Linked DNA regions of Ovis aries. The protein of the gene in region 1 interacts with the protein of each later gene in a pairwise test. Links are inferred from orthologs where the notes say so. Each region holds a gene or a part of one and is shown on either strand. Other genes may lie near its edges.

Region 1 (4,949 bases):
AACAATCCATGTAAGGGACAACTTATGTAGTGCTAGAAATGTTCTATCTCATGATAACAGGTCGCAGCTACTTGAGAGTACACTTCAGTTTAAAAATAAATAAAACTACCAAGCTCTTCATTTAACATTAACGCACTTCATGCAATACACGTGTATTATCTTTCAATTAAATGGTAGACGAGTTTTTGGTAAACCTCTTGAAAAGCCTGGGAACAGAGTACAGAGAAGTCAATCTCTAAGCCTCAAATTTCTTTGAAATCTCTTTCAATAGTTGATAACACTCTGTTCAGATTCATAACATAACTGTTTATTCTCAAAAATAAATAATGTTTCAGATTACAATCTAAAATTCTTAACTTAATTCTTAAAGAAAACAAGTATTCTTAGGAGACAGGCAGCTCAAGTAGTAAGAAGAGGAGCACCAGAGAACCTTGAGAGTTGTACACCAGTTAGAACAAAGGCTGATGTTGCTGGGCCATTCACAATAGCCTTCTTTGTAGCAGTTTCTAATCTTTGCAAATTTAGCCTTTTATCATAGGGTTAATACAACAAATGGGATATATTTTAAAATTATGTTCAATTCTATGTTGAGAAGCTGCAACACAGAATTAGGAGTAACTGAGCTTAATTACTTTTTATGAAACTGATGTCAATATTAACTGGATTTCCATTAAAGTATAACAAATGACAGCCGGAGTTTAAGAGTCTAAAAACAAACAGGATCACAGAAAGCTGTGATTTTATCTCTTAACACAAAATAAGCACATCTAGAGGAAGTAACGGGAAAAGTGACAACAATTCAGCGTTTTAGGACTGAAAAACTGTGAGCAATACATTCTGGTACAGAAAAAAGGTTTATGGTTACTAGTAAAGAAGATTGGTCCTCAATCCAGAGTAAATTGAAATAATAATTTTCAAGCTAAAAATTTTCAATAATTTTCAAGATCAACAGGAGTTCAAATTAAAGCAATAAGCAACAGGTTCAGATTGCAAATTGCCTAAGGGACAAGACATAAATCAAATTTTAATCCTTATTCTCTAGCATCTCCACCTCCGAGAATTGCTGTACCTCTGAAAAGGCCTGTTACAATGGAAAAACGAAAATAAGAAGCAAAGGAAAAGATACAGCTCGGAGCTCTTTCCTCTAACAACTCCAAACACGCTGAAATCCCCCACCTTTTGTCTCACCCTCCCTCTTCCTAGGGCTTTCAGTACTCTTTCCTCACTGCAGTCAGCTGAACGCGGAGAGGCTTGGGGTTGGGTGGGAATTCAAAGGTGACAATCACTCGCTTTCTATAGCAATACAAAAAGACAGCGGAGGGAGCGAGGAGTTGCCCTTTGTTTTCGAAGCTGAGACCGCTACCATCTCGGATACCAAGTGAACGAAAGCTACAAGGGAAGTCCGTCTCGTCCGCCACCCCCGTAGTCCCTTACTTACCTCCAAGTGCCGCAAAAGCTGAGCGGTGTTTGCCTCGGATTTAACGGCTTTATACTGACTAATGGTCAGAAGCAAAGACTTCAAGCAGGCGGTGGAGTCCATCCGGACCCGCCGTAGGGCGCTTGGAGCGGGTACCACCACCGTCCTCCAGCTTTTACCGCGCTTTTTTTGATTTTTCTTCTCCACCCCCTCGCTCCCGGAAGCTTCCGATTCCGGTTGAGCTCCGGAAGTCCCTTGGCAACTTGAGGAAGGCACCCTACGAAGGAAAGGGAGGGCTGGGACGGAGTGATGGAGGTGGGGGATGTCGAGGCCCAGTATGAGTCCGTGAGGCAGGCTAGTAGTTGTCCTTTTAGACCCCCGATCTGAAAAGCCGCGAGGTTTTAGTTCGAGATCCCGTGAAGCTGAGAAATCTCGCGAGAAGTCAATTGCGGCTCCACTGGCGTAGGGGGCGGTTGGGTAGCAGGGGGTCCCTATTCGTCTGTGGGCCCTGTTTGCGTTTACTTCCTTGGCCTTGACCGTGGGTGGCCAGTTTTTTCTTTGTGCGTCATCCTCTACCTGAGAAATGGTCGCTTTCCCCTAGTCTAGACACGGTGAGGAGCTCTGAGGAGGAGACTCTTGGGTTCTAGATTTTGAGGCGGCCCGGGAGAGGCCTGTTTTTAAAATCGCTTGTTTGTCCACCGCTTCTACTGAGGAATGTTTGTTTCTCAGAGTAAACCTGTGGCCGTTCGGATTCGGTGGCAAGTTAGTCATGCGCTTATGATAGTCGTTGTCAATTTATTTGAGAAAGCTGGCCCAGGTGAATCCTGTGCCAGGTGTTGCTCCGAAGGCTGTTCTTATTAGCGTCAGTTTTGTAAGTGAAGGTGTCTGCTTTTATTTGACGTGATTGATTGCTTTATAAATCTTGGTGTCTAAGGAAATGGCACTGTTTGTGGTTTTTGTTCAGAAATAGTATTATGCATGTGAATATCATGAAATGAGTCAGACTGGTTCTGGAGCTTTTTTGCTTAATGTATGCTATTGAATGAAGCTTTAAAAGCCAGTTTGGAGAAAACTGTAAGAACTGGGTATATATCCTTTTTATTAAACCATTTGTCAGAAATTGTGTTTTGTCAATTCAAAGAAAGCCTATTTTGCGTCACTACATTTTTAAAGACGAATTATTTTTATATTAAAAAGCAATTTCATTCTGAAAGGTTAAAAAATTGAGGCATAAATCATTGGGTAATTAATGTGTTTATGTATTTATTCATTCTGTAAACAATTATCGAGTGTATAAAGTAGGCTAATCCTGCTAGTTAGGGACCCTGCTGGGAAGGAATTAAATGTACTGGATAATAGTACATACAAAATTCACCAATTAGAGGCATCATCCGGTTATGGTAACGAGTGGAGCTAGGCTGTTTGCTTACAAATCCTAGGTCTACCTTTTGCGATGTGACCGTAGGCACATTCTCACTGTTGCGATCTCATCTTGAAGTAAAATCTGACTAACAGTAGCACCTATTTCGTAAGATTGCTCATTTAATAACTAGCTGGAGCCTACAGTGTGCTAGGCATTGGTCTAAGCACTAGATTCGGTTAATAAAAATCCTATTGTTATGAAACAAAAATCCTACCATTACATTCTGATGGGAAAAACAGTAAATAATAAGCACAGTAAGGAAAGGGAGATGGAGGAAAAGAGAATTACTCTTCTAGATTAATGGTTTAAAAAAGAGAAATGGGAGGTCAGGATAGAGAAAGCTCTTTTGAAAAATACTTGAAGAATCGAAAAAGACCTGTGCTTTCTAAGGGGAAACATTTCTAGATAGAATAGCAAGGGGAAAAGCTTTGAAATGGAGCCTGATAATATAAGGAAGGTTATATTATCAAGCCAAGCAAGGACCTTGCTATGGCTGGAGTAGAAAGCGAGGGTGAGAGAGAGTAGTAGAGATGAAGTCATGTCAGGTTATTAGAAAATGAGCTAACCAATGAGGAACAGTTGTCTGGCATAATTATGTTCTCAGCAAGTGTCAGTTACATCTTAGGTCCTTGGCAATACAGTGATAACAGTTTGACAGCATTAGACTTTTCATTCATAATGATAAGTGCCTCACCATTGTCCCCATTTAGATCTGAGGGAAAGGGTCAAAGCTGTTTGTTCAAAGTGCTATCCTTTGAAAGCTTGCATTTTAGCTTGAGGAGTCACACACATTTTGCATCTCCATATTTATTTTAATGTAAAATAACATCTTTCTAAGAAAATCTTCACCAAAAATTGAGCTGTAAAAAGGTCTGATGTCTTTTGTCAGAGATACTTGTGTATCCCAATATGAGAAACAGAGCCATATTTTTAAGACCCAAAAAGGGGAAAAGGAGGAGGAGGAAATGGAGCTGGGTCCAGATGACTGAAGGCTGTACTAGCCTTTGAGCTGGGACTCTATCTTGAATTAAGTGATGATCTCTGGTTTCAAACTGGGTCCTGCAAGTTAGGTTTATGTTTTAGATTGATTACTCTGACACTCTGAGGAAGATAAGCCCAGAAGTAGGGAGAATATTTATTTTACTGGAGTCTTTCCAAGGGATGGCTGAGATAATTGAAGTGGAGTTAGCAAAAAGGTGACAAATTTAAGAAATATATATGAAGTGAAATAGGACTCTGAATGATTTCAAATGGACGAATGAGAGGGATGAAACTAGAAGGGATTCCAAGTTTCTAGTCAGGCTGATAGAGAAGATATAGAAACTGCTGAGGTAGTCAATATTTTAAGTATTCACGTATTTTATGTTCGGTGAAATATTGTATAGCTTATCATGTAGTCTTGTACCATTCTCATTAAACTTATTCCTGGATCTTATATAATTTTTGTTACTGTGAGTGGGTTCTCTTTTTCCCCTAAAAATTTTTAGTTTGTTTTTGCTACTGGTAAAAGAGAAACTGATTTGTGGTATATCTTTTACTCAGTTTAGTGACTGAAATATCCTTATTGATTCAGTTTTGCTTCCTCTCTTAAATTTTCTAGCTATGTATCACCTGAAAATAATAATTGAATCCCTTCCAATATTTGTTGTCTTACTTTATTTCATCAGTGTAATTTCTAAAATATGGAATAATCATAATGATACTGAACATTGTTACTTCATTGAATGAGAATGACCAGTATTTTAATGCTTTGTATAATTTGTGCAACAGTTGCCAAGAGATAAGTATTCTTTAAAATGTTTAGGCAATACCAGTGTTATTTAAAGAATGTCTGCTAAAAAGTTATCAAATATTTATATATCTTATTTTTCCCTTTAAAATGGTAGCGCAGCTGATTGAACATTTATCATATGCCAACCACTGTTTTAAGAACTTAGCTAATTGATCTTTATAATATCATGCTTTACGTACTGTTATGATCTCTGTTATGATCAGATGGAAAAATTTGAGAGAGGTGAAATAATTTGCATAAGATCACACAAGTAGTAGTAGCGAACTTTGTATTTGTTGTGCTGCAGATATTTTATTCAGGGTTTTATATTTATTTTT
Region 2 (4,999 bases), on another chromosome or scaffold:
ATGTTGGTCCAGTGGTTAAGAATCTGGATTTCAATGCAGGGGACTCAGATTTGATCCTTAGTTGGAGAACTAAGTTGGGATCCTTAGTTGGCGATCCAACCAGTCCATCCTAAAGGAAATCAGACCTGAATATTCATTGGAAGGACTGATGCTGAAGCTGAAACTCCAATACTTTGGCCACCTGATGTGAAGAACTGACTCATTTGAAAGACCCTGATGCTGGGAAAGATTGAAGGCAGGAGGAGAAGGGGACGACAGAGGATGAGATGGTTGGATGGCATCACTGACTCAATGGACATGAGCTTGAGTAAACTCCAGGAGTTGGTGATGGACAGCGAGGCCTGATGTGCTGCAGTCCATGGGGTTGCAAAGAGTCAGACATGATTGAGCGACTGAACTGAACTGAACAGAGGAACTAAGATCCTACATGCCTGGAAGCAACTAAGTCAGAACTTTGCAACTATTGAGCCCTAGTGCTGCAACTAGAGAGTCCATGTACTGCCACGAAAGATCCTACATGATGCAACTATCACCCAATGCAGTCTAATTAATTAATTGAAAAGGTATGTATGTTTCAAACATCATGCATTTAAGGGAATACATTTCCATGATCTGATACTAAATGCTAAAATATCCTTAAATAATTAATATTTGTATAATTTTTTTCTAGTTGACAAAGCAGTTTTACCTGTATAACCTTCTAACATCACTATTAATAAAAATATGATTATGTATGTAACATAAGTAATTAACATATATGTACACTTCATAGTTTGCTAAAGTCACTCTTTTTAATCATTGTATTTCTTTAGTTTTGTCTGTGCTGGATCTTCATTGCCGTGCATGAGCTTTCTCTCCTTGCAGCGAGCAGGGGCTTCTCTTGTTGCGGGGCACAGGCTCTACGGCACTCGGGCTTCAGCAGTAGGGGCAAACAGTCTCCATAGTTGCAGCTCCTAGGTTCTAGAGCACAGGCTCAATAGTTGCAGCACATGGGCTTAGCTGCTCTGCCGTCTGTGGAATCTTCTCCCATCAGGGATCAAACACGTGTCTCCTGCCTTGGCATGTGGATTCTTTACCACTGAGCCACCAGGGAAGCCCCAGCCTTTTTCAACTGATAGTCAATCTTGTTCAAATTATTACTTTAAACTTTGCTATCCAGACTACTTCTGGTTTCTGAAAACTACAGTGGGGCTTCCCTGGTGATTCAGACTGTAAAGAATCTGCCTGTAATAACGGAGACCTGGGTTTGATCCCTGGGTTGGGAAGATCCCCTGGAGAAGGGAATGATTACCTAGTCCAGGATTCTTGCCTGGAGAATTTCATGAACAGAGGAGCCTGGTGGGCTACAATTCATAAGGTCCCAAAAGAGTCAGACGCGACTAAGCAATTAACTTTATTCGTTCATGTATATAAAAATGGATTTGTATATAAAGATGGATAGATAGATCCCTCATTCTACAATGTTCTTCCCAGCTTCTCCAAGCAATATAAGTGGACTCGTCCTTCAGAACCCTTGTTCAGATTAGTCAGTTGGCCTCATTCCTCTCCCTCCGACTATAGACTATGCAGGTAACACAACACACCAGGCCCCAACCCACTATTGCCCGAAAAGCAGCGCCAGAGCCTAGCCAGGACCACTGGCTCCGCCCACGCCTACGCCCTTCAGGGTTCGAAGTCCCCGCCCACTTCGAGGAGTTTCCCAAAACCCAGCGCGGCCGTCGCCAGCCGCGCTAAGATGGCGACTCCCATGCATCGTCTCATAGCCCGGAGACAAGCGTAAGTTAGGACCGGAGTTGGGCGGCGGGGCGGGCTGGGGGCGGAGAGAAGCGCGTCAGCGGGCTATTGAGCGGTGCCGGGAAGCGGGGTTGGTGTCGGATCCTCAGCTTGGCCTGGCGGAGGGTGGCCGTTTTTCTTACACGTCGCCTGCCCACAAGGGGCTCGGGCCGGAGCGAGAAGTTTGATGTCTGTGCACTAGCGATTTCGTGGAAGACGGCTGCGTAAGGCCACTGGGCGGGACCTAGGGGTGACTGAAGAGAGTCTCGCGTTTGGTTCCCGCGAAGGGGACGTCCAGGAATTGGTTACTAAGTGATTTATGCCGATTTGCCCAACCCAGCCGGTGGGCAGCGGTGGGCGCACCCCAGAGTGACCAGGCGAAGCTTGTAGCCCGCATCCAACACCCCTTATTCTCGCCGACGTAAACCTTCAGCTTCCTGTTCAACCTCCAGGCCAGCTGGCTTTTCCTGCCCCATTGTAATCGCCTTACCTAGGAACAGCCTGACTTTTCTCCCAAGCTATCTTCTCACATTCTGCCATTCATTCTCTAAGAGATACTTTGGGTGTAAGAAAATGTTCAAGACAGAATATTTGCTTTCAGGAAGCTTACATTCTGTTGGTGGAAAGAGTCAATAAACTAAACATTTTAAGTAAATGCAGTTGGATAGTAAGAGCTTTGAAGGAAATGAGATGGTGGAAAAAGAGAACGGTCCAGGTTAGGTTGGTTGGACTGGAAAGGCATCTCTGAAGAGGTGGGGTTTGAACAGAGATGGAAAGTGTGAGAAAGGAGTCAGTCGTGAGAGGATTGGGGGAAAGAGCATCCAGAACAGCATAATTAATTTGAGACAGGAGAGAACTTAGTTTCTAAGAACTGAAAGATGTCCATTGTGGCGGCTAATGAGCGAGAGAAAGGCACGAGAGTGTGAACAGATAATGCAGGAGTTCGTGTCATATGCCCCTTTCTTGTACAGCCTTTTTTTTTCTTCTACCAATCTGCACACCCAACCAACATTCACCACTTATTCACTCTCAGCTTTTCATGCCATCACTGTTTGCCTGTTTATAATACATCACTTAGTCTGCTGCAGTGTGTATATTTGTATTCCTTTTTGTATTTATAGTTTTTTTTTTTTTTAGTTTTTTTTATTCTAAGAGTCCTGATCCTTTTCTTCAATCTTTGATCAGACTCTGCCCCTCATGCTGGATGAAAAGAGTTCCTTGATCATAAAGATAAAGACTTACAGAATCAGAGTGAAGTAGTAGTATGCTTGGTGGAGGAAGAAGGCTTTTCCAAGATGGTTCTGAGATCTAGAATGAAGTAACAGTTCTACTTAAATAGATATCCACTTAAATGGTGTTACCAGGGTCTAATGTCTCTCAGATTTGCTCTTTTGGATGTTGGTTCCATACTTGGATAGATCACTCCTTTGGTCCTAAAATGGCTGCAGTATCTAGAGTCCTTTGTATCCTGTCAGCTTCAAGCTGATAGCATCTCATTGTCTAGACTGGATTACATGCCCTACCCTAAACCATGTCTGTGGGAATATGAAGTTCTGATTAATTTGGATCTCATTCTCTTCCCTTGTGGCTCAGCTGGTAAAGAATCCGCCTGCAACACAGGAGACCCCAGTTCGATTCCTGGGTTCAGAAGATCCCCTGGAGAAGGGAAAGGCTACCCACTCCAGTATTTTGGCCTGGAGAATTCCATGGACTGTATAGTCTATGGGGTCCCAAGGAGTGGGACACGATTGAGACACTTTCACTTTCATTTTCTCTTCCCAGCATAATTGAATGGGTCTTTATAAACAGTGGGTGGATAGGTCAGAGGACGTGATGATGGCTAGATTGACTAAATCAAACAGTGTCCACTTTTGAAAGTAAAACTTTTAATGCTTTTAGCATAAGTTTTAGAGTATCACAGAGTTAAACAAATGTTCCATTTCTTCAGTATGCTTGTATTCAGTACATGAGCTACCTAGGAGTAAAAAACAAAGCTTTAGGAGCTTCTGGTCTCAACTGGGAGGAAAACATGGTGTGTAACAAAACCTGTCATGGTTTAAAGGCTGTCAGGACAACTCCCAGGGAGTTGGAGACCGAGGGCCATTAGAGGCAAGGAAAGTGCAGGAAAATTTGGGGAATATTTTGGGATAGAAAGTAAAAGAGGAGCTTTTGCTTTTTATTTTATATTCATCAAAATGATTTGTTTATAAAGAGCAGATAGCGCTTCCATAAGAACAATTTTTAAGCTACAAGTTATGAGAAGTGAGAAAGTACTATTGACATTGTTTTTAAAAGTTTTTGGACCAAAGGAGGAAAGGGGGAAAATTTGAATTTCCCATTCAGCAGATCTTTTAGGAACTTAACTCTGAATCAGATTTAACTCAAACACAATTGTATGCAGAATGACAAGAGGAGAACTGATGCCCAGGAGACTAGAGGAGTGGGTATTAGAGCCCTAAGCCACTCTGAATGTGTTTAAGGCACTTGACCCAGGTGATTTCGTCCCCAACATAACAGAAAATTTCCAAGTGAAATGGCTGTAGCTGCTGGTAATCTGAGGACTTCTGGCCAACAGGAGTGACGCTAAAGGACTAGAAGTAGGCAAATGTTTTGATTTTCAAAGTGAGAAGGGTAGATTCCACAAACTAGACTTGTGAATTTGATATCCATTCCAGGCAAAATTCTGGCTGGATATATTAAATCTGTTCAGAAGTAAAAGCCAAGTTCATCAGGTATCAAATCATTACAGATTGATACCCTTATTGCCTTTTTTAAGTATTTGGATTTCAATGCGGCATCTTGGAAAGTCTCTCACAGTATCCTTGTGAACAAAGCAGAACTATTAGGTACATTAGTTGAAGATCATGAACTGAGAGTATTGTTTAACGGGTTTAAGTAAATGTACATGGTGGCCTCAGTGTGGTACTGTTTGATCTTGTCAACAATTTTTATAAATGACTTGGATGAAGACACATGTGCATGTTTATCAAACCTGCAGTTAACACAAAGTTAAGAAGGGTGACTAATACAATGGATAACAAGATCCCAATCCAGAAAGGTCTTGACAGATGAACTCTACATTGAGTCTAATGAGAAAAAATTTAACAAGTGTAAAATTAAGTATTGTAGTGTTTTTTTACTTCAATTTCCAATTGTTCATTGCTAGTATATTGACTTTTGTATACTGACCTTATATCCTATGACCTTATTAAGCTCATTTATTAGT
Region 3 (4,370 bases), on another chromosome or scaffold:
TGCTGGTGTGGCTTAGATGCTATTCTTCCTTTCCCCAAGCCAAGGAGTGAGGGGAGGGAGGTGCAGTCTCTAAATCGTCACCATGAGGGTTCTCAGCACCTCAGCTCTGAAGTATCTGAGGAGCCATCCCTTGGTGTCTAGCCACTTCCCAGGATAGAGGCCAGCTGTTGAGGAGTTCCGTCTGCTCTTCCCCATACTTCCCATCAAGAAGCTATGGGGACTGGTCCCTCTGGACAGCAATGCTTCTCCTCTCTGTCTTCTCATCAGGACATGGACAGGGCGGGTCTGCTTCATAGAAAACCCCCAAGAGGCATTTATCCACGTCCTTGAGGTTCAGAGGAATCAGATAGGATCACTGATCATTTCTTATGGGCAAGCAAACAGTGGAATGAGTTGTCCACTGTTCATCAGTTGTCCACAGAATGTCTGGGGCCACACTCACTCCTGGCTCATCTGGGTTGTGTGCCAGGAGGAAGCTTCTTTATTTAGCTGGAAATCAAATTCTATCTTCCTATGACCAGATGCCACCTGATTCGCTTCTAGGAATGGAGCCTGGGAAGAGCAGCGAGGAGAAGGACTTGACTTTTCCTTTGTAACCAGTGTACTTTTTCACCGTTTGTGTGGCTAAAGGCACAGATGACTGCATGTGTATGCCTTCACCTCCACCCCCAATGAAGGTTGAGACATTTTCCCTGGGAAACAAGGAAGACCCTCTAACTGCTGTGTGTGTCAGAGCCACGGGGTCGAGTTGGTTTAGAGAATACCCACTGACCAGATCTCCCAACAGGTGTGCACTGCGGTCCCTGGCCTCTGGCTGACCCACATCCCAGCTTCTGTTCCTCGTGTTTTTGGAATAGGCTCTCTTGTGTTTCATCTTCTCCTCAAACTTAACTTTCCCTGATGCTCCCTACTGGGAAGCCTCTCCCAGGACACCGTCAGTCCTGCTGGCCCCAATTTCAGACTTCTTTCCCTGCCAGACATTTCCACATCTGCAAATCCCCACCAGAGCCAGGGGGAGGGTGGTAGGATCTCCGTCTTTCAGATGCAGAAATTTGAGACTCAGACTAATTAGGTGGCTTGTCTACATCCTCACAAATAGAGGGCACAGCTGCGATTTCAACCTCGAGCCTCTTCCCCAGAGTCTAGATTTCTACGCTGACTTTGTCCTCCTGATGGGAATCACCGTAGCTGGACTTTCACCTGGTCCAGGTTGCTTGAACTCAGCCATACCGTGAGAAGAGCCAGTGCAGCCATCCAGTGATGGCCACCAGCCATCAGCCATCTCACCAACCATGACCTCTGTTTGCTGAGTGTCGGCTGTGAGCCAGACCCTGGACTAAGCAAGGGCTTTACTCGCCTGAGCTCCTTCAGTCTTTGTAGTGACCATATGACTTTCCTCTTATTTCCCCCTTTCAGGGTTTGAGACTTAGTAGATAGACTGAGGCTCTGAGAGGAAGTCACTCACTCCGGGCCCTGTGGTGTGACTTAACCAGGTCACCTTAGATCTGGGGTGTGCGAAGCCTCTGCCCTGCACCACTGGTCTCTCTCTGGGCAGCTTCCATCCTGGAGGCCACAACGGAGCCCCTACTCCAGGGATCCCTCACACATGGTCAGTTGCTTTGTGGCCCTTTTTCCGGTCAGTCTTCACCAAGTCCAGGAGAGAGGCTTTTCTCCCGCATTTCATGGATGAAGCAACAACACGGACTGGCTGTGGTGAGCGAGTAGCCACACTGGAACTCGATGCTGGGCTTTTTCCACCCCACTAGGCTGCATCTTCAAAACATAATATTTGTTTGTCTGTTGGTACATGCAGGCCTCTTTACAGATTTGTTCCCCGCTGTGGCTTCTCCCCTGATTACCTTTCAGGGCCACTGAAAGTTGTTTAAATGCAGCATTCCTTATCACTCCAGTTCTTTTGTGTGTCAGAATGTGAAAAGGACACCCGTATGTGTGTCTGGGCTCCACTTCAGAGACGGGGGTTGAGGAAGACCCCTGTAGGGGGGTTCCAGCTGCTGTCTTTTTCAGTCGTGTCCAAGTGATTCAGGTGCATAGGCTGAGTCCTTGGACCACTGGGGTTTGATAGATCTGGGCCCCAGTCCCAAAGGGCCCAGCACGCGGGAGGTACGCAGTGAATGGGAGCTGTTGTGCTCTCAGTCAGGTGTGTCCTAGAGTATCACTCTCTGCCAGCACCAGGCCAGGATGCACCTAACCATCTAGAAGAAGCAAAGAGGAAGTTACTAGCAAAACTGCACTTCCAAACAGCACAAGCTGTTGGCTTGCCAAGCACCCTAATTTAGAAGCCTGTGGGTGCAGCTGGTGTTTCAGAGCAGGACTAAGGGGATAGAATAAACAGTGTTGATGAAAATGATCTACACAGCTGTCAAAGGGACTGGTTAATCATGGCATCTGTTCTACAAATAATAAAGGAGAACACCAGGGAATTCCCTGGCGGTCAATGGTTAGGACTTGGCATTTTTGGTTCCTAGGGCCAGGGTTCAGTCCCTGGTTGGAGAACTAAGATCATGCAAGCTGCACAGCGTGGCCAAAAAAAGGGAGAGCACCAGCACAGAAAAATGATAAATGTTGAGTGAAAAAAAGGCTTCCAAAGAGTGTGTGTTGTTTGATTCCATTGGTTTTAAGACTCACACAGATACTTCTAAAAATACATAAGAAATTCAATGCAGGTTTTATCTCTGGGAAGTAGGAACAGCAGCAGTAGGTGGATGAAGGGCTTCCTACTCTATACACCTTGTACTCTGGATTTTTTTTACAGTAAGCATATGCTACTTTTAGAATAGGGGCCAAGAGAGCTGTAATGTACAATACCAAGAACAAATAGGATTAAAAAGCAAAGCTCAGACATTAGGAATCTCCTGTCCTGTGACTGTCAGCAGCCACTTTCCCAAGTCACTTCGTTTTCTGAGGGTAGATTGAAGAATCTTAGAAGTGAAGAAGGAGCAGTTTCCTGAGTTTCTCTGCTTAGGAGAACTGGTATCCTTTTCTCACTCCTTGGCCCACATAATACCCTGCAGAGGAAAAACCGACTTGTAATGTGCCACCTCTTGCCTCTTCTGATACCTACCCCTAGACAAATGTTTATGGGTCAGCCCAGAGACGAAAAATGAGACCATTTGAAGGCTTCCAGCGCAAAGCCATTGTAATTTGTCCCACTGATGAGGACCTGAAAGACCGAACAATAAAACGAACTGACGAAGAAGGGAAGGATGTCCCAGATCACGCGGTCTTAGAAATGAAAGGTAGGAGATGAGTGATTCCCAGGGGGGCATCATGGCAAGGCCCTTAAGGGGAAAAGTGTCTTACCCCGTTTTTCCCGACCCAGCTGCTTGAGTATTCTTTTTTTGAATTTGTTCTTTCTTTGCTTCTGCTTTGTTCCTTGCCTGTGTAGTACCGCTGTGACTGAAAGAGCCGCCCATACCCCGGTGGGGCAGGCTTTTCAGATTAGATGGGGCCGGGGCAGGGTGTGGGAGACCTGCGTGGCCTTCTGCCCCTGGCACCCACTGGGTGGGCTGGCTGAGCAAGCCTCAGTGAGGCATCTCCATAATAAACAAGGATGGTGATTCTCCTTGACTGGCTTGTTCCTGGGGTATCAAACATCGGTTTGGTAGAATTTAGTCACCTCTTCAGAAAAAGGAGAAGAGGGTCATTGTTAGCCCCTGATTGTTGATTGTAGGCAGAGCTTGGGACCCTCTCTCCTCTGTTGCTCACACTGCGGTCCCCTACTCGTCCTCCCTTCTGGCAGACCAGTGTCCTGGGGGTGAAGGAGACTAACCCTCGGAAGGTGCTGACCGCCTTTCCTCTCCTTCTGGCACCCTCCCTTCCTCCTAGCCAACTTCACGTTGCCTGACGTTGGGGACTTCCTGGACGAGGTGCTGTTCATTGAGCTGCAGCGAGAGGAAGCAGACAAGCTGGTGAGGCAGTACAACGAGGAGGGCCGCAGGGCTGGACCACCACCTGAAAAGCGCTTTGACAACCGCGGCGGGGGTGGCTTCCGGGGCCGCGGGGGTGGCGGTGGTTTCCAGCGCTATGACAACCGAGGTCCCCCAGGGGGCAACCGAGGAGGCTTCCAAAATCGAGGAGGAGGCAGCGGTGGAGGAGGCAACTACCGAGGAGGTGAGACATCTCACACTGAACTCTCCTGCTTGTGGTTCCGGGGTCAGGGTTGACTGTTTCCTCAGTCAGCAGATGACATTTCCTTGGCACCAGCTGTTGGCTGAGCCCTAGTAGAGAACTGAGATAAAGTCTGGGGCCTCAGGGAAACTCCCACTGTCATCTCTTCCCTCCCCACCCCCCACCAGCATTACCCCTGAAGGCCTTGCCCATTTGTGTGTCACATTGCTATTATTTTTGTG
Region 4 (4,370 bases), on another chromosome or scaffold:
TCATCCTCTCCAGGCCTGCCTGCTTGACGATGCCAATATACCTCCTGGCTGTGCCAGGGCGGTCATAGGGCCCTGGCCGCTGCACTGACATGAACTTCAGTGGGGGATCCGAGTATGACCTAACTTCTTCCTGACTGCTCTTGAACACCTCAATATACCTGTGCCCTATTCTCTCCTTGTGCTTCCCTAGAGCCTTCTCTGCTAACTCCTGTGAGGCAAACTGCACAAAGGCTTCCCCTGTAATCTTGCCCTCGGGGTCCACAGGCAATGTGATCCCGTTTGGCACGATTTCCAACCCTGAGAAGAACTGAATGATCTCTTCCTTGGTGCATCCAAACGGGAGTCCTCGAAGTCGCACGAAACCATCGTTGGCAGTGTCAGCACTGTTTGGACCACTGTGCTTCAACACCCAATCCATCTCGGTTCTGTGGGACTTGAACACTTCAATGTACCGATGTCCCATGCTTTCCCTGTCTTTTTTAAGGGCCAATTTTACATCATCTTCTGATTCAAGTTCAACAAAAGCCTCACCACTCTGCCTGCCTTCTCTAGTGTAGATAAAATGAACACCTGCGACCCCGTCATGGATCGTGCAGTCGGAGAGGAAATTCTGCACATCCTCAACAGAGCAGGACCAGGGCAGGCCACGGAGCTTGACCACAAAGCCTTCACCTCCCTCAGGGCCCAACATCATGGACACTCGACAGAGCAGACGTCAAACAAGCCCGGGTGCAGCTTTGTGTGGCTGAAAAGAAAGCAAAGACTACATAAATTTTCATTTAATATGTTTAACAAGAATATGAAACTAAAGGAAAACAGACTGCATTACTGCAATCACTAAAGTAAAAGGCAAGACAGTAGGTGAGAAGTCCTATTGTCTACTCAAAACCCCAATCAAGCGCATGGTAAAATTAAGACATATCCAAACAAACACGTAAGTCCATCAGCAGAGTATCAGTTATATGAGATGCAAACATAGAAATCAAACTATATGCCTCTCAGTTTCACACTGCCATGGCCTGGGTTCAATCCCTAGTGCCATAAGCAGCACAGCATGACCCCCCCCCCAAAAAACAAAATAAAACACATTACGTTGTTCAATGCAACACATACATCGCTGTGTTTCACTGAGGGACTAGAAATGGAATAGACTCTTCATTGTACAAGAGGCATGACAGGTGCCCCTCCTGACAAAGTGCCATGAAGTATAAGTGGCATCTGACACCCAGAGTCCAAGCTGAAAAAAGAGTAAAGGTCAAATCCATGTCGAAGGGCAGCATTTTGAAAAGCAGGAGCTGAGTCAGACACCAATATACGAATAACACAGACAATAAAAATACAGATAAGGCCAAAAATATATTCAGAACAGGCACAAGTATACAAAAGTTGTTTTATCGAATTGCCATTTGATATCAAGTATAACAGATGTAGCTATTAAGTCAGTGGTAAAAGGTGCCTTTTCAAAAAAATCTAGGCACATTATCACGCAGAAAGATGAAACAGAATCTTACCTCAGATGAATCCTAAAACTATCTCAAATGGCATGACATATTTACACTATTAGAGCAAAACATGGACAGATTTCTAAAAACCCCACAAAACCAGAAAGCATGAATGGTAAGAAAAAGAAAAGAAAACTGGTTTAACAGAGACCTGGTGAAGCAAATCAGAGCAAGTTCTAGAAATTTATAAACAAGGGAGTTGCTTCTTCTGTAGCTGAGCTCTTATCTGTGGCTCTGCCCTGGTCAACTCCACCCACCCCAAGGAATCTCCATCTTCATACAAACTTCACTGAACACTACTTTCCTTATCAATTAAGGAGATTTTCTCATTTCTAATCACCCCCTAGGATACTATCTTTCCTTATACCAACTTGCCTCCAGCTACTTGGCTTTGCTTTCCCTTTCAGTGAAATCTCATCCTCAAAAAGGCTTCTTACACGTCCTTCCCTACCCTACCATTAAACTAGGGCACATGTCACTCTGCCAAGGATCTCCATGGCAAGAAAAGAAACATTTTCTTATCTCCATCTCTTCTGTGCCCACAGGATTTAACCATTCTCGCTGGAAATCCTTTCTCCTCTTGGCTCTTGGTTTTCCTGTTAATTCCTTAGGTACTCTGCCTCTTTGAGTCCTTCACCAAGGTTTAACCATACACAATCACTGGCCCCATTTTTGCAGGTAACCTCACCTGATCCTTGTATTTCCAGCGTCAATTCTGGGCTCAGGACACACAGGTTCCTAGACTTAAGATTTCCCCGAGGCCAAGACTGGCCTAGACAAACTCCATTCCATAGTTCAACCTATGTACCACAAATCAACACCACTTTTTTCTGAAACTCTTCTATAGTATCCTGAAGCATAAATGGCCTTACTTGCCATCCAAAGGCTCTAGAATGAAACTGAAGCAATCTCTGAACAACTTGCAAGCCCTTAAATCTAATGAGCTCATTATTTCCTTGTGGGGGGTGATCCCATTCTCCACCCTAATCCTACTCCTAATCCATGCCTAAATTCTATTCAGTAATTCTTGACTCCAGCAAGTATAGAGATTTCTCCTATCTTGGTCCTTAGCATACTGCTTGAATATCAAATCATCATCATCTCTGTGCATCACCTTCATCCCTTTCTACTTCCAGTACCAACAAGCCCTTTCCAAGACATTCACATCTACAACTTTTCCAGTCCTTCCTACCAGCCCAATCTGTAGCTCTCTTGAGTGTAATTTTATGTCATTCTACTGTTTCAACACCTCAGTGGCTCCCCACTGTCTGGAACACAAATCATAGGGCCAAGGGGGTGCTCAGGCCTTGAAACTTTGACCTGAAACACACTTGCATTAGAAAGCAAACAAACCTTTATTCCTGTATTTCTGTGCCGGAAATGTGGCAGGCTCTCTGTTCCACTGGAATTGACACATGTAGTAATTATCTGTCTGAAGATAGCCCACCCAATCTTCTGTCTAGCTAAATCCCACTAATCCTTATACTCTCAGCTTAAATTTAACTTTTCCACAAGACTTTCTCCCCCCTCCACCCCCCGCAAATTAAATCTATAGTTCTATGATCCCAGAGCATTCTAGGGAAACAATTCATAATTTGTTTAAAACTCTTTGCAACTGCGTTGAGAGGCTAGTAGCAACAGACTTATCTGTTCAGTAGGTCACTGTAGTCCCACCCCCAGCACAGCAGGCCCAAGATTAGCAAGAGATTAACTGATGGCCACGTGGGGCCAACACTACCTTCTAGAATATGGCAGTCTGGTTAGGTTAAAAAAGACAAGCAGAAGGGGGGAGGGGAAGACAGGAAGCATAAAAGAACAAATATTTAAGAATTATTTAAAGTGCCCAAAACAGAAATTATAAAGCAAAAAAAGCACTTTTCCAAAACACATATGTACTTCTAATACATAGAGCAATATCCTTACTGTTGACCTCAGAATCCTCTAGATTTGGATTCTTCGCAGACTTTCAGTACTTAGAATATTAAATAAAACTTGTGAAAATAAGAGCTGGCTTTCTGCTCAACGTTAGATTTACAGCTAGTGAAAAAAAAATCTTAACTCAGGAAGTTTTCTGCATCAAGAAATGAATTATAAACTGAGAGATTTTCTTAAAATAGCTCACCTTAAAGAACACCGGGGGATGCCCACAGTCGAAGACACTCCAGGTAGGTAACGAATCGTCCTAAAAAAGAGCGACAAGGAAATTTTATCTTAATGCCCCAGCACTCCCGGAGCAAGCAGAGGCAGCAATCCCCTGGCTGGGACCGGCTCTGAGCTCCTCTCCAGTAAAGTGAGAGCCGAGGCTGTGGCAAGCCGTTTTTAAGCGCCAGGTTGCCTTAAAGAAAGTACACTCCCGCCCCACCCCACCAGCTTTGGAAAGGTTTATCTTTTTCATAGGGTAATACAGATAATAACAGCCTGGAACCATCCCACTTGCCCTGAAAAGATTTACTCAGAAGGCGCGTTCCCTACAGAAAACCCTAACCGTGGTTAAGAAAATTTAAATATCTAGAGTGGGAGGCGCACCTCCTGGGCGGGGCTGCGGGGAGGAGCGGTTCCCGGAAGCAGAAGGCGGGCCGAGCAGGCAGGAGAGGAGTCGGGCCGCTGATCAGCACTTGAGACCTGGCCGAGTTCACAATGATGTGCTCCGGGCAAAAGTAGTTTGCTATAACTGTCGTTAACAGTATTTACAATTTGCAAACATCCCTGGAGATCTGAGTGGAGATATTAAAAAGATTTTCCTTCCCTGTTTTTAATAATTTCATTGAGACCTGTATTTGATATATAACGTTGCTCTTTTAACTGAGAATGAGGGGAGGTAGTGTTGAAATGTTTTAAAATAGGAAAAACATCAATCTACCATCAACC
Region 5 (5,131 bases), on another chromosome or scaffold:
GTGCTATACCATCAGCTGCTAACTCGTGAGCTTTCTCATTCACCAGTCCAGCAGACTGAGGGCTCTTTGCAAAGGGAACTTTCCCAAAGAGGCAGAAAGCTGAAGCCTGAGGATCTTGGAATGCTTCTGAAAGGCTGGACCTGCACTTCTAACACAGACCTTAAACAACAGGGCTCTTTCTTTGTGGTTTCTTAGGCCTGACATGTGACTTAGCAAAAGCAGCAATCTGAGCAGCCCACACTTTATTCATTTATTCAACAAATATTTACCGAGTTCTCTAGTCATTCCTTAAGGAAATCAACTCTGAATATCCTCTGGAAGGACTGACACTAAGCTGAGGCTCCAATACTTTGGCCACCTGATTCGAAGAGCTAACTCATTGGAAAAGACCCTGATGCTGGGAAAGATTGAAGGCAAAAAGAGAAGGGGGTGACGGAGGATGAGATGGTTGGATGGCGTCACTGACTCAATGGGCATGAATCTGAGCAAACTCCAGGAGACAGTGAAGGACAGAGGAGCCGGGGTGCTGCAGTTCATGGGCTCACAGTCAGACCAGACTTGGCAACTGACCAACCACCGTGTAGCAGGCAGTCAATATCCTGGGATTACTATGTGGAGATACTGTGGTGAATAAGGCAGGCACAGTCTCTGCCTCTATGGGTCTTATGGACAAAAGCAAAACAAACAAACAAAAAAATAGAGAAGTGAATAAATGAGATCGCTTCTACCCAGTGCTATGAGAGAGGGGAGGCTTCCAGGAGGAAAGGTGGTCAGGAAGGCTGAGGATCCAGACCACAATGAGCCTATAGAGCTGGAGAGTGGGGGTGGGGGCAGGGAACAGACTAGTGGGGCCTTACAGGAAAATGTAAGGAATTTTTATGTCATAATTAAGACAGTAGGGGAAGATTCCCCTGAAGGAGGAAATGGCAACCCACTCCAGTATTTTACCTGAAAAATCCCAAGGACAGAGCAGCTTGGCCGGATACAGTCCATAGGGTGGCAAACACAATGAGCAACTGAGCACAAGCAGGAGTAAGGCAGTTAGGGATCCATTAAACGTCTTTACATAGGGGAATTAAGTTGTCTGATTTCTGTTTTTAAACGATCACTTTGGCAGCTGCTTTGTAATATAAACTGTCAAGCCTCAAGTCAGAAAATGACCACGCATTCTGCAAATTCAGTGTGAGCTCACTGCCAAAGCTCTTGGTTAAGAGTCTCATCTTGTTTCCCTGACAAGTAAACTGGTCATAATAAAGTTGTATGGCATAGCAAGTAGGAGGCAAAGGTGAGAGTCATGCCTTGGTTTCAAATCTTGTTTCCCACTCACCAGTTATGAGCACTCCGCAAGCTATTTACTTGTGCCTCAGTGATCTCAGCTGTGAAATGGGAATAACAAAAGTACTTACTATCTCAGCGTTGTTGTGAAAATGAAATTACATGTAAAGCACGGTGACAGTGCCTGGTACAAAGTAATTAACATTCATAAATATTCATAATACTTCTTTCAGAGAACTACTGTGACGATCACATGAGATAATGCATGTGAAAAGGCTTATGAAACCGTAAAGACTGTCTTAGTGGCAGAATTCTTTCTTTTCCTTGTCTTTCAAGCGGAACCCAGAAGGCTGCGATACCGGGGGAGGAAGGCGCGAGGCCAAGCGCAGCCTCAAAGCAGTCATTGTCGTTGGACAGCCCTTCCCCCGGCCCAGAGCACATCTCCATGGCAACGTGGGGCTTCGCCTCCCCCCCGCCTCCTGGGGCCCACAGACCGGAAGCAGTCCGCGCCGGGGGCTGCTGGGAAACGGCTCGTGAGCGGCGTTTCTGCGTCGGCCGAGGACAGCGAAGCGGCTGTGGTTCCCGAGCCCGAGGTTTGCGCGAGTTGGGGGGAAGGGTGTGAGAGACGCTGGCCTGGGGGCTGCAGACTGCTTGACAAGAGTCAGCGAAGAAGCCTGGCGGGAACCTTCCTCGGCTTCTCCCAGAGGCGTGGGGGACAGGCCGCGGTCTCCGTGCCCGGCACTTGTGGGACGGGCAAGGGAAGACGAAAAGCCAGATCGGGCTTTCAGCACCCTCGAAGAGTCCTCCATCCCTTGTGTCCTTCGCGACCCCCGACTTCCCCTCCCCCATCGGCCGGTTTTGTTCTATTTCGAGGCCCTGGCATCTCGCGGAGAATTCTGGGATTCTTCTCGGGCGGAGGTGGGAGTGGGCGGGCCTCGCGCGGGGCCTGCTGGGACTTGTAGTTCAGCTGGCCGCGGGCGGAAGTGCCGCGGCTCGTTTGCTGTTGTGGCCGGGTGGCATTCGGTCTGAGGAAAGCCGCCGCCGCGAGTGCAGGGAAAAGGGGCTGACGTCGTTGGGGTGGGGGCGCGGTTCGAAGCGGCACTCTGCAGGAGTGCGTGGGGAGGTCACTTGGGACCGGGCTCTCCGCCCAAAGACGGTCGGGACCGCGGACCTGCGCTCCCCGCAACTCCTCACATCCCACCGCCAGAGTGCTGTTTGAGAACGTAAAAGGAAGAGAAATGTCTTTTCTGTAGAGTGCTTGAGCCGTAGAAAGGTAGGGTCTTGGAATAGAAACAGATCTGTAGGCCAAAGCTACGTGTTTATAAGGCCGCCACACTCCAGAGTATTTAATTAAACTTGTGTGTATGTTACCTGATAAGATCTTTTCTGATTCCTAGTTTTGGTAGGGTTACAGGAAGTTTTTGGAAATTAGCTTTCGTATTCTGGGGCGTATATGGGTACATTGAGCAGCTGCGTGGCTCATTCTTAACGGGTGTTGTAGACAATGGCATGGGCATGACTGTGCAAATACCAAGGAAAGGATCAGAAATAGCACAAGGTTTCCATGAACGTAGTAGCTGGGGAGATTGTGAGTCATTCAGTGTCAGCGGAAGAATCTGCACCACAAAGGTGTTACGAGAGTTCTTTTTTCCCCCTAGAATTTGCTGATTAATGCCTGTCGTTCCTAATTTAAAGGTATTTATGGTGTGGAGGGTAACTGAAAAATAATTAAATTTTATGGCACATAGTGGTTCCTTTTTTCCAACATTATTATCTATTCCTGACCAAGTGAATTTTTTTAACGTGTATTTAAAGTCCTAGGAGTTCTTAAACATTTAAAAAATAACTGTTAAACGTTTTGTGAAAAAAAGTTTTTTTTAACAGATAGTAAAAAAGCAGTCCCTGCTTTTGAGATGACCTAAGTGTGTCAAGGAACACCAGTATTGAATTGTAGATAATGTGTTCAAGGGTCAGATGCATTTAGATAACACTGAGAAGGGCTGGTTCTTAACTTGGATTCTTTTGATTGTTGAAATAGGTTTTGTTCATAGGTTGGCAAACTTTATCTCTAGAGGACCAGGGTAAATATTAGGTTTCTCATGCCCTATAGTGCCTATTGCAACTACTCAACTCTGCTATTGTAGTGTGAACAAATGAGTAAAATTATTTATGGAGACAGACGATTTAATTTCATGTCATTTTCACATGTAATGGAGTGTTCTTTTGATTTTTTTCCAACCATGTACAAGTGTGAAAACTATTCTTAGTATACGCATTGTACAAAAATGGGCAGCTGGCCAGATTTGGTCATGAGCTGTAGTTTGCAAACTTCTAGTTCAGGTTATTGATTGGCATTTTTAATCTAGTAAAAGAACACATTTTTATTTCCTTTAATCAGTCTGTGTCCAGGTTCTTAGAATATTTAGTCATTTATAAATTTTTCATTTCTTGTGCCTCAGGAGTGCCTGTGAAGAAAACTGGGTATTTCCCTAAGGTATCTTGCCTTGATTGTCTTTCCTTGAAGTATCACAAATCAGGATGTCTGCACAGTCAGTGGAAGAGGATTCAATACTTATCATCCCAACTCCAGATGAAGAGGAAAAAATTCTAAGAGTGAAGTTGGAGGAGGATCCTGATGGTGAAGAGGGGTCGAGTATCCCCTGGAACCATCTTCCTGACCCGGAGGTTTTCCGCCAGAGGTTCAGGCAGTTTGGATACCAGGATTCACCTGGGCCCCGGGAAGCTGTGAGCCAGCTTCGAGAACTTTGCCGTCTGTGGCTCAGGCCAGAGACACACACAAAAGAACAAATCTTGGAGCTGGTTGTACTGGAGCAGTTTGTTGCCATCCTCCCCAAGGAGCTACAGACTTGGGTTCGAGAGCATCATCCAGAGAATGGAGAGGAGGCAGTGACGGTCCTGGAGGATTTAGAGAGTGAACTAGATGACCCTGGACAGCCAGTAAGTTTCCTGTTAGGAGTACTGGCGTAGCAGTATTCACAGCTTCTGAATTAGTTCCACTCAACTAAGTTAGAATTATGTTTATGCTTCCCCTCCCCCCCCTTCATTATTTATGCTGCTTTGCCCTCTAGGCCTCTGCAGCATATGTTTTGTATGATTTCTTTGGTGTGTGTTTTAGTTTTGATTCTCATCAAATTCCTTCTCAACTGAACCAATTCCTATCATTTCCAGGTTTCTCTTCGTCGACGAAAACGGGAAGTGTTAGTGGAGGAGATAGTATCTCAAGAAGAAGCTCAGGGATTACCGAGTTCTGAGCTTGATGCTGTGGAAAACCAGCTGAAGTGGGCATCCTGGGAGCTCCATTCCCTAAGGCACTGTGGTGAGGACCGGAACTCCGTGTGGGCTGGAGAGTGAGAGTGTGGATCTTTTGTCCAGAACTCTGCGTATTTTTACTGGGAGCAGGGAGGGAGAATAATCGCCTTCACCTGATTGCTTAGACATAGACACATTGTAGGATTTCTATTCTTATGTGATAACAGTTGGTTTGCTAACCTTGAGTCTTTTATTCTTCAACATAACATCATCAACCTTTTCTTTGCTTTTATGTCTTTCTTTGAAGGCCTGCCCATTTCTGGTGGGCATTTGACTTACTCTGAGCCATAACCCACCTCTGTGGCTTATTTGCCACCTGTTTCACATCCTTCCAGTCTCCTACCTAGTCTCTCTGGTATAATAAGCTTACTTCTTCAAATCTAGTTTTTTTTGTTATCACCAGAATCTTTTCGTATTTTCAGCTTTTTTGTTTTTTTCTTCAACATAAGTACAGAAAAATTAAATGGAAAGATCGTTCACTAATGCCGTTCTTTCCCAGCATCTTGGCAGTTAATGCCACATACTT
Region 6 (4,979 bases), on another chromosome or scaffold:
GCCATGCATGTAAATACAGGCAAGAAAGAAGAATGCAACGCATCTGTTGCCATAGCTCTTGTAGAAACGGCGTCTGAATTTCCTGGGGCTGTGGTTAAAAAAAAATTGGGTGGCTTCAAACAAGAGAAATTTATTGTCCCACAATTCTGGAGACCAGAAGCCTAACATCAAGGTGTCAGCAGGGCCCTGCTCCCTCTGAGGCTCTAAGGAAGAATCTTTCCTTGCTTCTTCCAGCTCTCCGTGGTTGCTGGCCATTCTTGGCTTTCCTTGGCTCAGGGCAGGAAAGACTGCCTCTGTCTTCATGTCGTCTGCTCCCCCTCCCCCATGTCTCTTCTGTGACTCCTGTTCTTAGGAGGGCAGTAGTCATACTGGACATAGGGTCCACCCTAATCCATTAAGACTTTATCTCAACTAATTACATCTGTGCATGCTAAATCACTTCAGTCGTGCCTGACTCTTTGGGACCCTATGGACTCCTCTGTCCATGGGATTCTCCAGGCAAGAATACTGGAGTGGGTTGCCATACCCTCCTCCAGCAGATCTTCCCAACCCAGGGAGGGTTGAACCAGCGTCTCTGGTGTCTTCTGCATTGTAGGTGGGGTTTTTTTTTTTTTTTAATCACTAGCGCCATCTATGTGGAGAGACTCTATTTCCAAATAAAGCCATACTCCCTGCACTGGGGACTAGATGTATCTCTCCGGGAACAAAATTCAACCCACAACAATGGGAACTCTCACGGAGAACTGACTAGTGAGGGGTGCCACATAAACGGAGCGATAAAAGGAAAACAGTGACATGTGAAATTGTAAGTGGAGGTCAGACGGGTTTGGGAGTAACAGGAAATATTAGATAAGAGACGCTCTCATTTAGGAGACTCTTTCCATCTGTGCTTACGGCCCTGATTTTTTTCTTTTCTGTCAGAGTTAAAAAAAAATTGTATAAATAAAAAGAATAAGAAAATAGCACTTCGCTGACTCACACATTGGGCAGAACCACAAACTCCTGTGATAATCAGGAAAGACTTCGCAGAAATGTTGGTGCTTGGGTTGGATCCTGGAGGATGGGAATAAAAATTGCCCTGCAAAGAAGGGCTTCCCAGGTAGGGAGAAAGTATATGGAAAAGCACAATGTTATTTAGGCGATCCACCCTTTATGCCTTAAGTAGGGTGAAGAGTCTCTGTAAGGAAGGCCCAGATTGTCTGCTTAATCTCTGTTACTAAGAAATGGTATTAAAGAAAGGAAGGGGCAGAGATGTTTCTGGTTTTGATAAATGCACAAATCAGCTCACAGTAACCTGAAAGAACACTAGGAGCATCTCTAAGGGGGAGTTCGTTCTTGGACACATTTGCCAAAGCACAAATATGGAAACCCCGCCCTCAGCCAGATCCGAAGAAATCAAAAGGCTGATGTGGTATAAATTCCTCTGCCCTGATTGCATAAAGGAGATGTGCCAACATTTTTTTCTCTGATATATTCCTTTCTGCACAGAGAGCTCAACTGGATTCTTAAAAACCTGATCGTGAACTGAGATAGGCAATTCTGAATCACCACCAGGATCTAGGAAAATTAACTCCTCACTGATCTTCCTAGATAAGCTCCCAATCTCGCTGCCTCTCAGATCAGCACTGGGATCTGGCGAGGTTTCTGCCACAGAGCAACTCCCTTTTTTGGCATAAGAATGTACAGGATGCCAGTAAAGTTCACGCTGGGTCATCTAAGTCTCTTTAAATGCGCGATGATTCATTGCTGGGGGTGGGGGCGAGAGGAGTGAGGGGGAAGGAAGTGCTGAGCTGAGAGGCGGAGCGAAGTCATTATGAAATTGACTGCAGAAAAGCTGGCGCTGGGAGTGCTGGGGTCACATGGTCTTACTATTGGTATTTCAGCTACAAGTTTTAAACCAGAGATAGGGGGAGGGGTTGGGAAGCATCACCTTGAAGCTTGATCGGCTTTCAGAGGAGATGCCTCCGTTGATGGCTGGCATGTTGATTAGAATTACAATGGGGGTATTAATTTCTCTTTTTATCTGACAGAAAAAGAAAAGTTCTCCCATGACAGTATGGCTAGCAGAACAAGAATCTGGCTGTAAGTGGTGTAAGTGAACCGTTTGTCTTTTTCTGCTTGATTTACTGGCATTCTAGCTGACAGGGTCCTCCATTCTGTGCGTTCATTTTTGTACTTAAAAAGGGATTGTTTGTAATTTACAGTTGAAGTCTGAGTGCTATTAGTCTGCTCGGTCAGCATGGATAGCAGGAGCAATCGCTCCATGTCAGTGCCAGGGCGCAAAGCAAATTTGGATCTTCAGTGGTCAGTCTTGAGAGCTCCCCAAAGTTACCCAGCAGTTAAACTCTGGAGCGGCCCTGAAGCACAGGGCTTCTGCAAATAACAAACTGCCTGACAAACCCTGCTGAAATCCTGACACGGACAGTTTCCTCTAGTTGTTTATGTCAAAAGGCAAAGTTTGCCAATGCATTTTTCTCTGGCTCTTCCTCTTTGGGGTAAACTTGGTAAATTCCTCATAAAATAATTGTCTTAAACTCTGACCTGCATTTGGATCAGCTTTTCCTAGCCAAAACTGACTCAAGAAAAACAAAGGCACGGTGAGAGCTTATAGCTATGTATTTTAATGTCTTGAAGTCAGAATAACAATTTGATGGCTATCATTGTCCCTGATCTTAGTTTGAAGGCACCACAAGCTTTACCTTCACAACCCATCAACTGCCTCTATCTTAAGTGTAAACAATGGTGGCTTTGGGCTTTGGTTTTAATTTGGAAAATGTATTTCTTTTGAGGAAACAAAATGCCAAGTTGTTAATGACGTGTTTTTAATAGATTTCCAAATGCTCCTGGCCAATACTGAGCAAAGTTCAACTCACTCATTCTGAGCCTTAAAATGTTGTTCAATTTCATGTAAGAAGAGCTATGTTCTATAGATGCATAAAACCACAAATTCTGTTATTTTATAAGTCACTGCAGTACATTCAATGTTGATAATAGTTATATTGATGAAAATGTATCTAGGTCTTGCTTGCAAAATAAATGGTAATGGTTAAAATTCATCTCATTTCCTTTTGACATATGCTATTGTAGTAAATATATTAGAAATTGTTTAAAAAAAAACCCACAGATTTCCTTTTGGCTTTGATTTGTTTTCTAGGGAAGCAGTAACTGTATACTTTTCATTATCCACACCTAAATGGCCTAAAGCCATTTCTTATTAAAAGATGTCACCCTCAACCATTCAGCTGTCACTCCAGAAAGCGTGTGCTTTCTAAAACACAGAACGAGTTTTCCATCAGCTTCCCAGGGTGGCAAAGTATCTGAAGCCTGTCCCTACCCCACCCTGAGAGACTGACTCTTAACAAATTTTTAGTCTAACATAAAGCCTAACAAATTTTAAGCCTAGCATATCTCAGGATTATGCCTTTACCAACAGCTTACTCTCAGAGATATTTTAATAAGGGGTAAAGTGCATGTTGGGCTTCCCAGGTGACTCAGTTGGTAAAGAATCTGCCCACAATGCAGGAGACCTGGGTTCAATCCCTGGGTCAGGAAGATCCTCTGGAGAAGGGAATGGCAACCCACTCCAGTATTCTTGCCTGGAGAATTCCATGGACAGGGGAGCCTGGCAGGCTACAGTTCGTGGGGTCCCAAAGAGTCAGACATGACTGAGTGACTAACACTCACTTTTCAAGGGCAGTGTTATACACTGCAAGGGGGGAATCTCAGGAAGGTAGAAAAGTAACCAAATCACCTACTACACTACTGCAATAAGATCTCCAATTATGGTTCTTAGAACTAATTCCTGCACCTCCCCAGCCCCACTGACTTTACTAGTGCTGTGCATTAGAAGCATAATGGACACATGTCATTGTAAATCTTATAGTAGGCACACTAAAATGTAAAAAGAAACAGGTAAGTTAATTTTAACAATATTTTTATGTAACCTAATATATGTAGAATATTTTCATTTTAACATTTGATCAATATAAACATTGAGATACTATATGAACTTATGTGTATATATGTGCATGTATGTACATGTTCTAAGTCTTTAAAATCCAAGGTATATTTTACAATTACAGCCCATCTCAAGTGCTTAACAATCATATTGGACAGTACAGACCTATGCTAAAGCACTTGTTTTTGTTTTCACTGTAGACAGAATCTTATTTAAAATTGCCTAATATGTGTACTATTAAGTCATAAACTGTCAGCAGATGTTTAAACACAATGATTTTAATTTCACTCTTGACCATTGCTGATGTCACTTTCATTACCCAGAAGCCTGTGCTGCTACAGTCTGGTGGAGGGTCAAGAAAGCTGATTCAGAAGCATGTCTTTTAAGAGTCTCCATGCCAAGGACAGAGCCCAGTGACTTCAGTTTGGGTGTGGTGAGTTGACCTCAGAGTCTATTGTGTGAGTGGTTTTCACTTTTGTTTTTAGTTTATTTTACTTTTCTGGTCTCTCAGCTTTATTTGGAAGTGCAGTCTAAGGAAAGCATATTGGTTTTGTAAGCACGCTATGGTTTGCTCAGATTTTTAAATGATATATATAGGCTACCACTCTCCTTATAATACCATGGTTAAAGAACTGTCAGTGTTTCCACCAGCTTTGGGGGTTTTATTATACAACCATAACAAACTGCTGCAGGTTGAAATTTGGCAGATCTTTCTTTAGCCTGGAGGAAATTCTTTTTAACAATTTTTTAAGAAAAGATATAAATTATTAAATGCCGACCATTTAAATTTACTGTGATTTTTTTTTTTTTGGATAGGCAAGGATATCAGATAAAACATATGTTGTATCTTTACATTTCGGTTGTTTTACAAATTTAAAATATTAATATTAGCTTTATAAATAACTTTGGCTGATGATTTACACAATTGCCTGACCCCCAACCAAATTTTCAATGATCCTAGTATTGGAGCCTTGTATTTGGAAGTCTGATCAATATACTGATTCTGAGAGGTACTGGAACA

The links.
Region 2: the proteins of DZIP3 (region 1) and ZCCHC10 interact in binary tests that used the Homo sapiens proteins (3 or more experiments, as listed by UniProt). The link is inferred for Ovis aries from reciprocal best matches to the Homo sapiens genes DZIP3 and ZCCHC10.
Region 3: the proteins of DZIP3 (region 1) and HNRNPUL1 interact in binary tests that used the Homo sapiens proteins (3 or more experiments, as listed by UniProt). The link is inferred for Ovis aries from reciprocal best matches to the Homo sapiens genes DZIP3 and HNRNPUL1.
Region 4: the proteins of DZIP3 (region 1) and HNRNPF interact in binary tests that used the Homo sapiens proteins (3 or more experiments, as listed by UniProt). The two-hybrid records come from large-scale screens. The link is inferred for Ovis aries from reciprocal best matches to the Homo sapiens genes DZIP3 and HNRNPF.
Region 5: the proteins of DZIP3 (region 1) and ZNF24 interact in binary tests that used the Homo sapiens proteins (3 or more experiments, as listed by UniProt). The link is inferred for Ovis aries from reciprocal best matches to the Homo sapiens genes DZIP3 and ZNF24.
Region 6: the proteins of DZIP3 (region 1) and ATXN1 interact in binary tests that used the Homo sapiens proteins (3 or more experiments, as listed by UniProt). The link is inferred for Ovis aries from reciprocal best matches to the Homo sapiens genes DZIP3 and ATXN1.

Annotation. Positions count from the first base shown.
Region 1 is NC_056054.1:174,360,355-174,365,303, forward strand, and holds the start of DZIP3 (E3 ubiquitin-protein ligase DZIP3), read left to right. Parts: upstream 1-1,861; 5' UTR 1,862-2,028; intron 2,029-4,949. Other genes in the region: protein CIP2A, read right to left, coding at 1,439-1,540. UniProt on the Homo sapiens protein: E3 Ubiquitin ligase proteins mediate ubiquitination and subsequent proteasomal degradation of target proteins.
Region 2 is NC_056058.1:42,240,621-42,245,619, reverse strand, and holds the start of ZCCHC10 (zinc finger CCHC domain-containing protein 10), read left to right. Parts: upstream 1-1,723; 5' UTR 1,724-1,735; coding exon 1,736-1,776; intron 1,777-4,999.
Region 3 is NC_056067.1:50,021,294-50,025,663, forward strand, and holds part of HNRNPUL1 (heterogeneous nuclear ribonucleoprotein U-like protein 1), read left to right. Parts: intron 1-3,088; coding exon 3,089-3,257; intron 3,258-3,846; coding exon 3,847-4,131; intron 4,132-4,370.
Region 4 is NC_056078.1:13,134,862-13,139,231, forward strand, and holds part of HNRNPF (heterogeneous nuclear ribonucleoprotein F), read right to left. Parts: intron 4,217-4,370; exon of another isoform or gene 4,029-4,216; intron 3,685-4,028; 5' UTR 695-3,684; coding exon 1-694.
Region 5 is NC_056076.1:22,076,004-22,081,134, forward strand, and holds the start of ZNF24 (zinc finger protein 24), read left to right. Parts: upstream 1-1,765; 5' UTR 1,766-2,548; intron 2,549-3,734; 5' UTR 3,735-3,813; coding exon 3,814-4,233; intron 4,234-4,464; coding exon 4,465-4,612; intron 4,613-5,131. UniProt on the Homo sapiens protein: Transcription factor required for myelination of differentiated oligodendrocytes. Required for the conversion of oligodendrocytes from the premyelinating to the myelinating state.
Region 6 is NC_056073.1:39,589,453-39,594,431, forward strand, and holds the start of ATXN1 (ataxin-1), read left to right. Parts: upstream 1-1,810; 5' UTR 1,811-2,091; intron 2,092-4,281; 5' UTR 4,282-4,391; intron 4,392-4,979. UniProt on the Homo sapiens protein: Chromatin-binding factor that repress Notch signaling in the absence of Notch intracellular domain by acting as a CBF1 corepressor. Binds to the HEY promoter and might assist, along with NCOR2, RBPJ-mediated repression. Binds RNA in vitro.